Lytechinus pictus: one gene and its partner. The protein of the gene in region 2 purifies or fractionates together with the protein of the main gene of each other region. This does not show direct contact. Links are inferred from orthologs where the notes say so. Each region holds a gene or a part of one and is shown on either strand. Other genes may lie near its edges. The genes, in order: C2 domain-containing protein 5-like and acidic fibroblast growth factor intracellular-binding protein B-like.

Region 1 (7,895 bases), on a different chromosome or scaffold from region 2:
ATCTAACACACACAGTTCGCTCCGCTCGGCACTTTGGCCGAGCGCTGGAGTTGCATTCGGCATTGCTCGAAAAGACAGAGTCAGTTTCTTCCTTTATTCCGCTGATTTTGATTGGTCAAAAATTCCCGCGGTTGCTTCGTACATCTTCGGTAAACATCGGAAATATACAAGACGGAGTCTAACTTACCTTCATGCGAGGGAAGGACCTAATATTCAGGTATTTATTTTTCTTTGCTTGAAATCACCTTCTTGTAATCATCGGATCCCTTGTAAACTCGGTCAGTAATAAAATTGTATATTTGAGAACATTTTGTGAAATTCTAATCAAATTTGGTCCGTAGAGAGTTTGCGAATATGAGCTTCAGTTTTGAGTGTCATGAGGTGTTTGTGAATCTGACTCGGCCGATCGAGCAGGGTTGTTTTGAGCGTATACGAACAGCTGTGAGTGACGTCATCCCCACTGCGTTGGGCCTGAGATTAGTCTTGGTATTCAGACACAGTATGTTTCAGCCGTTGTATATTTTTTTTTAAATTACGATTTGAGCTGTGTTAATTATGAAAATCAAATTGTTATTTTGAAAATAATTTTGTAGAATTCGTGTGAAATAAGTATTAAGAGCAAAACTGCAAGTAAACTTCAAGAATTTTGTTTGATATGTGATTTTTTGTTGGAATGCGTCTGAATGTCTAGAATATGGTATTGTTAATGAAAGTCGTATTTTTGAATGGCACAGAAAGCTCCTTGCATGAATTTAATTTAGAAATAGGTTTACATACATGAGATGTGTTTCATGAATTTGATATCTGATTTATGGACCTTTGTTATGGTGTTAATTATTAATTTGAAGATATTATGAAAAAGTAAGAGAAGACAATAATGAGGCAATTAACAGTGATGATGAGACATTAATAATATGAGACAATAAACATTGAGACAATTATAATTATTATGATTATAATGATAACAATTATAATTATAATGATAATAATTATAATTGTAATAATTGAGACATCAATTCTAGTATTTATTGACAATAATAATTATTACAGTAATCATTATTATAACAAAATAATTGTAATAACAATTATAATGATGTACTTTGAATTGTAATAATTACTGAGATATTAATATTAATGAGATATCAATAATAATCATTATAATAATAATGTTTATAATTAAAATAAATATAATTGTAGAAACAATTACAATTATAGTAATTATAATTATAGGCCTTATAATTAATGAGACAATAATAACTATTATTACAATAATACTAATTATTATAAAATAATTATAATGATAACAATTATAATGAAAGTAATTATAATTTTAATAATTACTGAGACAGTAATATTGAAAGGTCAATAATTATTATTATAAAAATTATTATGATTATAAAAATAATCATAATTATAATTAAAGGCCTTATAATTATTGAGACAAATAACTATTATTACAATAATAATAATTATAAAATAATTATAATGATAACAATTATAATGAAAGTAATTGTACTTGTAATAATTACTGAGACAGTAATATTGATAAGTCATCAATAATTATTATTATTATAAAAATTATTATAATTATAATTATAATCATAAAAATAATCATAATTATAATTATAGGCCTTATAATTATTATTTCAATAATAATTATTATTATGAAATAATTATAACAATAATTACTATGATAGTAATTATAATTGTAATAATTATTTAGAAAATAATATTAATGAAACAAAAATAATTATCATAATAATAATTATTATAATCATAATTCTAATTGGGACAATAATGAAACGATGATGAGACAATAATAAAATCAACAATTTTATTGAGACCATAATAACAAGACAATAATGAGATAATAGACAATTGAAATCAATCTGTTTTTATTTTTTTCTACAAATCCTAAGATTATTATTTTAATTCTCTTTCTTTGATTACAAATTATATTCATTGAAAACTTAATTTCTAATGTTCAAGCAAAGAAAATCAATATCAAGTCATGTTTACCCTGTGCACAAACCTACCACAGGGCAATTACCCCCGAAATAGGGTTAGGTTAGGTGTAGATTTTTGGATAGGGGTACAGTGTAGTTGTCCGGGGGGGGGGGGGGGAATTGTCCAGGGTGGGTGGGGGTGGGGGGTTATCGTCCAGGGGTAGTTGCCCTTGAACCAAAGAAATCATATGCCAATATGTCAAATCAATCTGAGTACTTTAAGATTTAAATAAAAAGCTTGTACAATTCCCCATAAGCTATGTTATGTATTATAAATGTGCCATGCCCAAAACAAAGAGAATAATAAGATTTCGCAATCTTCTTTTGTCCACAAAAAGGCCTGTTTTTTCATCACAAAGATGACAATAACTCGACTTCTAGATATCGGAATTTGACAATTCAAACAGTTTTGTAGATATTGAGCCTCATTGACATTGTGAGCCCATCAAATATGCTGGAAGTGGAACAGCCGGCAGCCTTTCCTAATTTTCACCTGAAGTGCCTAGTCTTATGAAATTTGCGGGAGTTTGTTGCAATTTTGCATGCGCCGTGCCTTCAAAGTTCAATTTTCCTGTACATGAGACGGTGGCCTGTTCTGTTTCCAGAAGAAGAAGAAGAAGTAACCATGGTCATGATGATTATGGACGCCGGTGTTAATAAACTGGCCCCGGCACGGCCCAGCAGATTATCGCTCCGCAGCGGATAGCGCGAAGAATCCGCCGATGCGCTGGGGGAGCTCATGTTTGCGGCATCGTTGAGTCAGACTGTCCCAGACCCAGGCCAGGCCGCTGCAGCTCATGAGCTAGTGTTTTAGTGAGCTAGTCGGCTCAGAAATGTGAGACAAACAAAAATCTGCAAACTTTAAATTCTACTTAAAAAGATCTGATGATTAAATATGCAAACTATAAAAACAAAAAAATACTTACAATCAGTTTCTAAATTATTAAAATGACGAAAATCAAGGACACTTTCACAGAGACATTCCTTGGCACAAGCTTGTACGGTAACATTTCTTGACAAAATCACAAAGGAAAAAAATAATCGTTTCAACAAGGAATATCGCATCTTCCAGGAAAAAAAAAACCGAGAGGGCCAACACCATTTTCATTTGCTTGCTTAAAACCCTTCCAGCCTGAATTAATAATGCATGAATTAATTCATTTCCAATTTATCTCAGCTATGGTCGGCAGACTATTAAACATACCTATATCATACGCATACAAAAATATAATTCATTTTTCTGGTTACAAATTCTATTATTAAAAAATTGAGATTTCAAACCTACCTTGGGATGAAAAAGTTAACTATAAGCCTATATATAGCAGTAGTGCTGAATTCATGATTCTGATATAGGGGGTGCAAAGATCAAATATGAAAAAAAAAGAGGGAGCACATTCAATTTTTCTTGGCTAAGCTAAATCAGCGAATGTTAACCCTTTCCACGCGTACTTCGCACCAATGCACACTCGGTGCCGTGCGAACTTCGCATTTCACACTCAACAAACAATGCATTGTTTCCCTCCTGAAAATCATTCAGTACAGATGGGTTCATGGTCCAGCGCACAAAGAGTTCATTCATGGTAAAACCCTCTCTCCTCTCTCTTTCACTCACTTTTCTCTCTCTCTCATGATCTCTCCTTTCGTGTTCTTCATTCACATTTTGCAGTGTTCCCCAGAAGGAAAAACCAGTAAGACCAGTAAGAATTTTTACTGGTTTCCAGTAGAATTTTACTGGTTTCCAGTATATTTTTACTGGACCAGTAAAAATCAACTGGAGACCAGTTCAAACAATTGCATTCCAGTTGAAGCAAAGTAGTAATACCAGTTAAATTGTTTTTTCATCAAACTGGTGTTACTGGTCCAATAAATAATGACTTTATTTCAAGTCGGATCATTTGACGAATTATGGAATATGAATCTTGCAATTCAGAGAAAGTTATTATCGTTATCATTGTTATCATCATTCTTCTTATAATTATCATAATTATTATCATTATGATTATTATGATCATTGTTGTTATCATTCTTATTACTGTTATCGTTGTTATTGATATTGTAATTATTATTATTAACATTATCATAATTTTCAAGTATTAACATTATCATTAAAATAATTATTTCCTTTAATTATGATTAAGATCAAAGCAAGATATATTCCTCTGATATAGTCAACTGGTCTAAAGTAATTCATTGTTTGAAATTGAACTGGTCAAGACCAGTAATACCAGTAATTCTGCATGATGCTGATCACGTGGTTTACCTCATTTGCATATTTCCTATTTTAAAAAGAAAAATCAGGATTTAGGATGGAATATCCTTGCAATGGCACTCATTGTTGTTTAAAAACTTTCCAAATAAGTGTGTGAACTAATCCACAATGAAAACGTGTAATTTCATATATCACATTTAAAATAACAGCAGAAACATTAATTTACTAACCATCTTTTCCATCACATTCCACTGACCATGGTATATAACAAACCAAATGCATGTAATAAATTGATCCAGTAAGACCAGTACGAGGACCAGTTCGACCAGTTCGAGGACCAGTAGAAAATACCAGTAAAGACCAGCTTGAATTGGATACCAGTATGAAGACCAGTGAGACCAGTAACAACCACCAGAAAAAAGACCAGTATAAAATTACAGTAATTCAAGACCAGTTTAATTTTTAACTGGACCAGTATGACCAGTTAGACCAGTAAACCGATGTTCCAATTTCCAGAGTTACCAGTTAAAATTCTACTGGTCTAACTGGTCCAGTGGAACTGGTTTTTCCTTCTGGGTCTGCATGGGGTTTACTTGTATGCAGTAAGTTTGCAGATAATATTGTCTTTTGACTAGATTCGCGCTTTCATTAAATGAGAATTTGTTTGGTAGCTATTTTTCTAAAGGGCCCTGTCATTGTAGTATAAGCTTTCGGGGAGGGGGGGGGGGGCTACTTACAATTGCTGGTAAATTTTGTATGTATTTATTTTATTACAGTTTTTAATGGAAAACAAATGAACTGAATTCTTAAGCAATTGATCCAGTATCCATAAACAAGCAAGACAAAAAACGCATTGTATGGTATCAAGTTTAATGTACAATAGAATTTTAGATACATTTAATACAGATGACATTCACACACAGGAAAATGCAAATAATATTTACATCAGCAGTCAAGGTGAAATAGAAAAATCAGTTCTTAAGAAAATAAGAAAAAACAAAACATTAACATCAATTTTGTTATATGCTTAATAATAAATAGTTGATATAAGAATAGTGTATTTTTTACAAGGACATAATAAAATATCATTTTTTGGAGAGCAATACATTATCACATGATTGTATTTATACTATACACATAAGTATTTCTAGAGCACGAACAGCAAACAACAATAAAATCAAAACTTTGTTCATAATTAACACATTAACCCTATTAGTAAGAATATTCCAGGCAAAGTTGGATCACATTTCAAAAGACTATCACTGACATTTATCGTATCGGCCAATCGAATGAAATAACATAGCTTGAAACAAGAGCATCTAACTGGTGATTGATGTCAGATTTTGTGACACAGGGTCCTGGAATGGCACAGTATTTGATACAATATAAATAAACGGGGGGTGTTTCACAAATAAGTATGACTTAGAATTGCACTTAAATGCCGAGTTGCGTGCTGTATAAAAGACATCACTGTATTGGTCAGATCATGCTAAGACTAAGAGGACGCGCATTGCTGCATATTGATCAATAAGATTACGCATTGCATATCATGTATGCATCAGCATTTAATTGCAACTCTAAGTTGCAATATCAGCTAGGAATTGGCTGACCAAAGCTAATCATTCTATTTCACGATATGCTAGGTTAGGTTACGGGGTGTGTGAGAGGAAATAACAACCTAGGCTCCATTCTGAATCTTTCTGAATCGTTTTCCCCCAAGTCTTCAAATAATATTTAAAACAAAAATTAGAATTGAGGTTCTTTGACAAAATAAATGTACTTAAAAATATATTATTCTTTGTAAAAACACAAAAGGAAATAACACAAAACTCGTTTGCATACTACCAGTGGGCTTTTAAAATATTGTACCTTAAAAATAATATTAATAGAATTTTGACATTTAAACAAAAGCCTTTTTTTTATTAGATTTATGGCGATGATGACAACCACTTTATCGTCTGAAAACAATATCTGTATACATGTACAGAAATCTCTCAAGGTGAAAGAAGGTCCCCCTTTTCTCATAATCCTAAAATATATAATTTCTCAGCTTTCCTCGTTATTTATTATTATCCAACACTATAGTTTCAACAAAGATATATTTTTCACACTTAACAATGGAGAGAGCTGTGGAAAAAAAAATCAAACATTAAACTTGCAAATAATTCTATGATGATTTTGGGCTCTACAAAAAACAAGTGGAATGCCTCTGGCCGTCTCACCTGCATCACGCGATTCAATATAGCAGCAGTGCTGATTTTGAAAACTACTATAACTCGCACAAGATGTTCAGTGATACTTGGTTACTCGTATTTCCACGTTTTATGAATTAGACCAATACACTTACATGTATAGAGATATGATGGCAATTCAAAAAATACCCCCAACGTGGCCAAAGTTCTTTGACCTTACATGACCTTTGACCTTGATCATGTGACCTGAAACTCGCACAGGATGTTCAGTGATACTTGATTACTCTTATGTCCAAGTTTTATGAACTAGACCAACACACTTTCAAATTTATGGCTGTAATTCAACAAATACCCCAATTTGGCTAAAGTTCATTGACCCTAAATGACCTTTGACCTTGATCATGTGACCTGAAACTTGCACAGGATGTTAAGTAATACTTGATTACTATTATGTCCAAGTTTCATGAATCAGATCCATAAACTGTCAAAGTTATGATGGTAATTCAACAGATACCCCCAATTCGGCCAAAGTTCATTGACCCTAAATTACCTTTGACCTTGGTCATGTGTCGTGAAACTCATGCAGGATGTTCAGTGATACTTGATTAACCTTATGTATAAGTTTCATGAACTAGGTCCATATATTTTCTAATTTATGATGACATTTCAAAAACTTAACCTTAGGTTAAGATTTTGATGTTGATTCCCCCAACATGGTCTAAGTTCATTGACCCTAAATGACCTTTGACCTTGGTCATGTGACATGAAACTCAGGCAGGATGTTCAGTAATACTTGATTAACCATATGGCCAAGTTTCATGAACTAGGTCCATATACTTTCTAAGTTATGCTGTCATTTCAAAAACTTAACCTCAGGTTAAGATTTGGTGTTGACGCCGCCGCCGCCGCCGTCGCCGTCGGAAAAGCGGCGCCTATAGTCTCACTCTGCTATGCAGGTGAGACAAAAGTCATCATATATAATATGCATCACACACACTCAAAGTTATGACTGATTTAAGGTAATCACAACTGATTTCCATAAATACCAGGTTTATGGTCATGTCAATTTGAATTGATTAAAGTAAACTGAACTATATGAAAAAAATCAAAACCTACTTTCCATTAATTAAGAGGACAGGAATGTTTTATTTCAAGTTGGGATTTTTTTTTTATCATTAACAATTCTAACCTGTGTAGATATATTAAAAGCTTCTAATAAAAAAGAAAGAATTGCCTATATCTATGCACCCTTTGAATTGAAATTACCAAATCATAATCTAAAAAAAAAAAAAATATGACGATCCCATTCAAATTGGTGAAGCCACATAAAATACAATATGCTTTCTCTATAAAAATATTTCACCTGAGATGTCAATTTATAGCAGAATTTTTAAATATTGGTATCTTGACATTTACAAATCAAATCTACACAAAATCATTAAATGATGTTCCATAAAAATGTGCACTGGCATTGTCTTTGGGTGTATT
Region 2 (7,614 bases):
ATATTTTCGTAGTACGTATAGGCCAACACAGTCCGCGATGCTAGCGGTGCGTTGGTGTCCGTAGTACAGGCCAACACTGCCCGCGATGCCAACGATCTATATATATATCTGTGTGCATCTGTAGTATGTAGGCCGACATTGCCCGCGATGCCAACGATGTGTATATTTTCGTAGTACGTGTAGGCCAACACAGTCCGCGATGGTAGCGGTGTGTTGGTGTCTGTAGTCGGTACAGGCCAACACTGCCCTCGATGCCAACGATCTATATTCTGTAGTATGTAGACCAACAGTGTCCGCGATGCCAACGATGTGTATATTTCCGTAGTATGTGTAGACCAACATTGCCCGCGATGCCAACGATGTGTTGGTGTCTGTAGTACAGGCCAACATTGCCCTCGATGCCAACGATGCGATCATATCTGTAGTTGCCTATGTAAACCAACATTGCCCGCCATGGCAACGATGTGTTGGTGTCTGTAGTACATGCCAACAGTGCCCGCGATGCCAACGATGCGATCATATCTGTAGTTTCCTATGTAGACCAACATTGCCCGCGATGCCAACGATGTGTTGGTGTCTGTACTGTAGAGTACAGGCTAACATTGCCCTCGATGCCAACGATGTGAATGTATCTTTAGTAGGTATAGGCCAACAGCGCCCGCGATGCCAACGATGTGTTGGTGCCTGTAGTAGATGCCAACAGTGCCAACGATGCCAACAATGTAAATGTATCTTTAGTACGTATAGGCCAACAGCGCCGGCCAGGATGCCAACGATGTGTTGGTGTCTGTAGTATAGGCCAACCTTGCCCGCGATGCCAACGATGTGAATGTATCTTTTGTATGTATAGGCCAACAGCGCCCGCGATGCCAACGATGTGTTGGTGCCTGTAGTAGATGCCAACAGTGCCAACGATGCCAACAATGTAAATGTATCTTTAGTACGTATAGGCCAACAGCGCCGGCCAGGATGCCAACGATGTGTTGGTGTCTGTAGTACAGGCCAACCTTGCCATCGATGCCAACGATGTGAATGTATCTTTAGTAAGTATAGGCCAACTTTGCCGGCGATGCCAACGATGTGAACGTATGTTTAGTATGTATATACCAACAGCGCCCGCGATGCCAACGATGTGTTGGTGCCTGTAGTAGATGCCAACAGTGCCAACGATGTGAATGTATCTTACATAGGCCAACATTGCCGGCGATGCCAACGATGTGAATATGCCTGTTGTAGAGGCCAACATTGCCGGCGATGCCAACGATGTGAATATAACCCTAACCCTAACCCTAACCCTAACCCTAAACCCTAACCCTAACCCTAAACCCTAACCCTAACCCTAACCCTAACCCTAACCCTAAACCCTAACCCTAACCCTAACCCTAACCCTAACCCTAACCCTAACCCTAAACCCTAACCCTAACCCTAAACCCTAACCCTAACCCTAACCCTAACCCTAACCCTAACCCTAAACCCTAACCCTAACCCTAACCCTATACCCTAACCCTAATTGAATTCAATTCCCATTGAATTCAATTCCCATTGAATTCCTTCAATGGGAATTAAAACTTTATTTCATATTTTAATGAAGAAAAAATGAAAATATTTCATGTATAAAAAATACAAAAGAAATAGAGAGTGAATGACATCGATCACCTCACTAACCAGGATATGCATATATTAAACTGTTTTGTGAAACCATACTTTGAAACGCTTGCCAACGATGTTTTGAATGTTGCATTGCACGGTCACATCGTTGGTCGTTGGCTAGCGGCGCACCCAACGATGTATAGCAATAGCTAGTAGTAGTAGGTAATTTAAAAGAGTGTATTAATCTTGTACTATTGCACCTTCACATCGTGGGTCGTTGGTTAGCCAACGATGTTTTAAATGTTACATGGCACCGTCACATCGTTGGTTAGCGATGTTTTGAATATTGCACCGTCCGTACCGTCACAACGTGGGTCGTTGGCTAGCAGCGCACCCAACGATGTTTAATTATAGCTCTAGTAGTAGTCAAAGGGCAAAGGTCATTACGTATGGCCTGGATGCATTGCTCGTACGTACCGTCATACGTACGTACGTACGTAGTATAGTAGTAGTAGTAGTACCAGTAATGCATGTACGTATATAATAGTATGGATATATCTAGGCTATATACCATTGAATTAGTATTAGCTATAGGTCTTGACATCGTTGTGTTGGCTGACCAACGATTGGGTAGTGAGCAGTGTCGGGGTATTCTGCAGTTAAGCCGTCTTTTGTTTAAACATGTTAAAGGAATAACTTAAAAGTTTAGTTTAATAAAGTTCAACAAAAACAATTTTAACTTAGGCCTAGGCCTAGGTAGTTTTAACTAAGTTTGAATACTGTGAAGCCTACAAATACAATAGTACAAATGATGTAACGTTACTCACCTGTCGCTTTACTGCAATTGTGGAAAATAGGAGGACCGCCGAGCTTTTTTGAACTCGATTTTATCAAAGTTGCAGGTTCCAAATCATACATTGAAATGGTCCTGGATTCTGCTTTGGGAAGACAGAAAAAGGCAAATGCCATGCAAATAAACGTGAAGATTGTCTTGGTCATCGTGTGCGGATCGTCCTCAGCCTCAGGAAGTGAAGGAGAGAAAAAGTGGTGAAAAAGGAATTCACGAAAGTTACAAGAATTGATATTTCTCTCTGTAAAATAGTGTTAATACTTGTTGTTAATACAGATAGCCTCTCAAATCTTAGATGACTTTGGTGATCGCTGCATAAATGGGCCGCGCCGGTACATTTGTATACGCCGTAAACTTGCACGGCTATTCATGATCTCGTGACACTTGTGAATGAAATAACCAATCAATACCTGTATCGGTATATAAGGCCGCGCAAGACAGTAAAAATGAATAAATTGATTATAAAATAATTATATAACCAACAATTCCATTGAAAAAAAAATCGTGTATTGATATTTTCCGATGGATATGGGATGAGGGGGGGGGGGAACTGATAACGCCCTGTGCAGACCGCAAGACTTTTCTCAGAGTTTGGAACCGGCCTTCAGTTGTATGCAGGAAGGTGCACAGGTAGCGACCCCCCTTTTTTTTGCTTGTCATTTTTTTTGGATACGAAACGACCTCATATCTTTGATGGAAACCTTTTTTTTTTTTTTTTTTTGCTTGTCAACTTTTTATTCAGCTCATTAGCTCAACCCCCCCCCCTTTCAAAAATCCTGCGTACGCTACTGTCCCGTTTTATGGCAACAACATTGAGACCTAATTCATATCAGTTTTATTGTATATATATATATTCATTTTAATTGTACATTTGAAACTTAATATGGATCACTAAATATTTGAAGCTGGAAATAACATGCTGGAGTCCACTGTGATGCTGTGCTTGTAAATTGTGGCCCCCTCAAATCAAATTATTCATTAATATTCAATTACATAGTTTGAATAAGAGAGGAAGAAAAAAAGTGAAATAAACAACAACATAATGCGTGAAATGCATATTTTCTTTTTCATTGTACAAACCTTTTTTATTTACGATTTGAATTTCATTGATCAAAGATATACTTTGAGTCGGCGGATGAAAAGCTTTATATAATAGGAACAGGAGTTAATGTGTAATTCGTCTTCAAAAGATTTAATGACAGTTTATTGGTTCTTATCCATCCGAATTATACAACTCCCAATAATGTTCTGTAATCTGATTGGTCCAAACGGATCCGCGAAGTCATGATCCACATGGTCCAAACGGATCACATGATCTTCATCGAATTGCAATATGGCCATACCAAATCAAATAAAGGGAGGCCACCATGCACCCCCTCCGACAGGGGCCGCGGAAGGGGGGGGGGGGGCTTCAGCCCCCCACTTTTTCCAAAATCGTGTACAAAAAACGTAAAAATGACCATAGAATTCTGATTTTTTGCATGGTCAGCCCCTCTCCCACTCTGAAAACCGTTCCGCGGCCCCTGTCCGAAACTGGGAGTAGACAAAAGAATTAACAAGTGGGGATATGACATCATCAGCCCGATTAATGGAAATTCAATAACTTCGTTATTTGTTTATCCAATTTTGATCAAATTTTAAGCATTTTGTTTTGTGAATTTTACTCTATTTATTGAGATATAAATATCTCCAGCCTGGACCATCCCTTTAATAAACTCACTACTCAGCAAACCTGGGTGAATTCCTTATTTCCGTGGCCGGCAGAACCAGTAGAAATAGATTCTTTTTTAATTTGCCTTTTCATTGGTACCACTGCATAGTGAAGTGTATAAATTTTGTGGATATGTATTTTAGTACCGGGTAGCGAAGTGTTATTTTCAGCGTAGCTTGTACGGCATGCACGGTGCATGTCAATGCATATATATGCACGATTGTCCACCCGATTGTCCTGCCTTGTATTTGCAAAGTTGTATGCCGTCTCGATCTCCGTCGCCACCACTTCAATTACTTGGACAGCTATCAAGGGAAGCCGAAGGGAACAACAACGAAAATGTCGGAAACAATGGTCAACATCGTTGTTGGCAACATCACTATGGTTGATCCTGAAGTTTACAGATACTGGTTGGATGGTTATTCTGGTAAAAATTGTGTTGTTTTTGTTGCTGCTGTTGCCGTTTTTGACATGTGAATGTTGTTGATGATGATGATGACGATGATGTTGCATCGACAGTCAAGATTGAGATTGCTATTTATTGAAAAATCAATAGATATACCATAGACCCTATGGCTATGCTATAAAACTATGATGGTGATGATGATAATAAAAACAATAACATAACAATTATCAATATTGATAAATAATGATAAATAGGCCCTAATACTTTTTTCTCAATCTAGCTCTATCTAAGTAACGACAACGTTAGACCTGGCTAGTCTAGTAATTCTCGAAAATACATTGACATAAAATTTGGAAGTTTAAATTGATACTTCTCGATCGGCAACTTTTTTGTTAGAAGTTTACTATGAATCTATGATCATGCAATTAGACTAAATCCGACCATAATCGATTTTGTCAAAGTATGAAAATTGAATAGAAAATTAAAAAGGATTGTCGCCAATTTGAGAGCAATTAGAGATCAAGGGCTAGAGCAGATTAATCTCGACTTCATGAAAGGTGTGTAGACATCTACTTATGCTTATAAAATACAGGTTATCAAATTTCTGTTTGCTTCATCCTCTGTATTATTGCCTAGCTTATGAAGCAGCCAGGAGGAGACACCAGAAGGTCAATCGCGAGAAACCAGGCTACTCCTTTGAGATCATCAAGAACGATACAGACGACAACTACAGGGCCTTCATAGCCATGGAGAAGCACCTACAGAATCCACTATCTCTTGCCAATCAACCGTTATTTCAACTTCCTCCAGACATGCAAGGGTTCCTTATAGAAAAGTGAGTAGAAGGATCAAGGTCGGGCATGGGGGAGGGGAGGGGGGGGGAGGGGAGGGGGGGGGAGGGTAGGGGTAGTTGGTATGTCCAGACTTCTTTCTTTGTCTCTAGATTGAGAAAAAGATTTTCATTAAATAGGCAGGGTCTGTTATAAATATTTGTGATTTATATACTATTGACGATTGTCTAACATTATTTTCAAATGATTTTCAAATACTAATGAGTCTGCCCATAATGTCAAATTACTTTGGACGATAGAAACCTGTTCGACTTAGAAAATAACAATAATAAATAACACATCTGATTGTACTTTGACAAGTATTTGACTTCTTGTCTATCTGTATATTATTAAATGTAATTTGTTAATTACTTATTTCTTTGAATATTTTTCAAGAATGTATTATTTTTGTTATTTTATTTATGTATTTCATATTTTCAAAATAATTAATTGATGAATTGTTTATCTTTGACTCTTTTGGCTAGTTTCTATGAATTAGATTCCTCGGTTGCGAGGGAAATCCTTGGTAAGAAACTCTCTAGCAGGCACAGGAAGGACTTAGATGAGATCAGAGACAAGACCAATGTTGCTCTTAGAAGCTGCAGGAGACAGGTATAAATTATCCAATGTTTTTTTTTTTTTAGATCATAATAAGTAATGTGTTTTTGCGCTAAACTTAATACTCCTGATTATCTCTATTTTGCCATTTTTGGGTAGTGAAGAACATATTAACTTAATTAACTCGGTGCAGATGCTTGTTAGTATCAATAATTTTATCCTGCACAGATTAAAGTTAAGCTGATTGAGCACTCAAGAACATATTCCAGTCATTCGATAAATTGTGCATTTAACTCTTTCACATTGTGCATTGAATTCTTGAACATCTTTATGAAACTCTTACCACCCTGCCATCGATGCAATTTCTTTGTTTTCCTTTCAACACTCACATAAATTTCTTTTTGAACACAATCAAACTAGAGGTAATGTATATTGCAATGTCTAGAAGTACAGTATATATCTATTATCTAACCAAATCTATCGTGGCATAAGGGAAGGATTTGGGGAGCGAGAAATTACAATTTCAAAGTTTGTCCATTGGCAACTGAACATTCTTATTTGGACAGGATCCACTTGTATTATAATGATCACATTTTCAAATGATGGCACAATCTTAGGCTATGAATGTAGTGTACGACTTCTTAAATATGGTATTCATTTGTATGTTTCACTTTCTCTCGCCATCTTTCTAACATGCAGTATGATAATTTCAAAAGAGTTTTCAAGACGGTTGAGGATATGGAAGGCCCTATGGTGAAGAACATCCAAAATCATTTTCTCCTCTCGCAAGAGCTAGCCAAGTAAGTAACATGATGATTATTAGGTCATATATGTTCTTTCCCTGTCTAAGATGTATGTAGACAATGACAACTTGATAGTTTGTTACAATCAGCATTTAAGTTACCGGTACCTATTTTACTCCTGTTATTTGTATACTTCTGCACAATGAAGTTAGTTGCCAGATAAATATTTGTGTATGAGGATGTTTTTTTTTTTTGGGGGGGGGGATGGGTAGGAGTGGCTAAGACAAATCAGATGATGAATAGATTAGTATGAAATGTACTAAAGAAATCATAGCTGTGTACTATAGCTATATGAAAGTAGCTGCATAAAATGTATTCTACTTTGATAAAGTTACATATTGATCTTTTGTGATAGTTTAGAAAACTTTGTACTTTAAATGAGAGAATAGAAGCTGATGTATATCAAATGTGACTGAACTCATTTCTCCACTATCAGGAAGTACGCTGCCATCGTATTCTTTGCCAACAATCGGTTTGAGACTGGTAAGAAGCGTGTTCAGTACCTGACCTTCAACGACCTAGCCTACTGTGCTGATGAAATGATCAGCAGTTGGACTGCTGGTTCTGTGGGTATGTACTGTATTCACGATATTGATTCTTGTTGCATGATAATGCATATTTAGGTATTCTCAGAGCTGCCAGCCCGAACAAGAACATTTTGGTATGTTTAAAGCTGAAAATCAGTATTTTGGTGAGGAAATCTGTATTTTCAAAGAAATGCCATAGGACAACACATGAAACTGAATCTTTAGAAATCAGTATTTTGCATAAAACCATCAGTTTTCTTCTCATTTTTCAGTACTATATACAGAAAATGCATACGACTTGGAAACTCTGTATTCTGATTATTTGTCTGCTCGTACAGA

Evidence for each region.
Region 1: the proteins of acidic fibroblast growth factor intracellular-binding protein B-like (region 2) and C2 domain-containing protein 5-like purify together in Homo sapiens (affinity purification with mass spectrometry; 3 studies listed by BioGRID and IntAct, counting the BioPlex papers as one, with this or other methods). This does not show direct contact. The link is inferred for Lytechinus pictus from reciprocal best matches to the Homo sapiens genes FIBP and C2CD5.

Annotation. Positions count from the first base shown.
Region 1 is NC_087261.1:20,638,042-20,645,936, forward strand, and holds the start of C2 domain-containing protein 5-like, read right to left. Parts: upstream 3,031-7,895; 5' UTR 2,933-3,030; intron 1-2,932. UniProt on the Homo sapiens protein: Required for insulin-stimulated glucose transport and glucose transporter SLC2A4/GLUT4 translocation from intracellular glucose storage vesicle (GSV) to the plasma membrane (PM) in adipocytes.
Region 2 is NC_087251.1:44,752,597-44,760,210, reverse strand, and holds the start of acidic fibroblast growth factor intracellular-binding protein B-like, read left to right. Parts: upstream 1-4,325; 5' UTR 4,326-4,490; coding exon 4,491-4,578; intron 4,579-5,193; coding exon 5,194-5,392; intron 5,393-5,872; coding exon 5,873-5,999; intron 6,000-6,644; coding exon 6,645-6,745; intron 6,746-7,184; coding exon 7,185-7,318; intron 7,319-7,614. Other genes in the region: NPC intracellular cholesterol transporter 2-like, read right to left, coding at 2,418-2,589. UniProt on the Homo sapiens protein: May be involved in mitogenic function of FGF1. May mediate with IER2 FGF-signaling in the establishment of laterality in the embryo.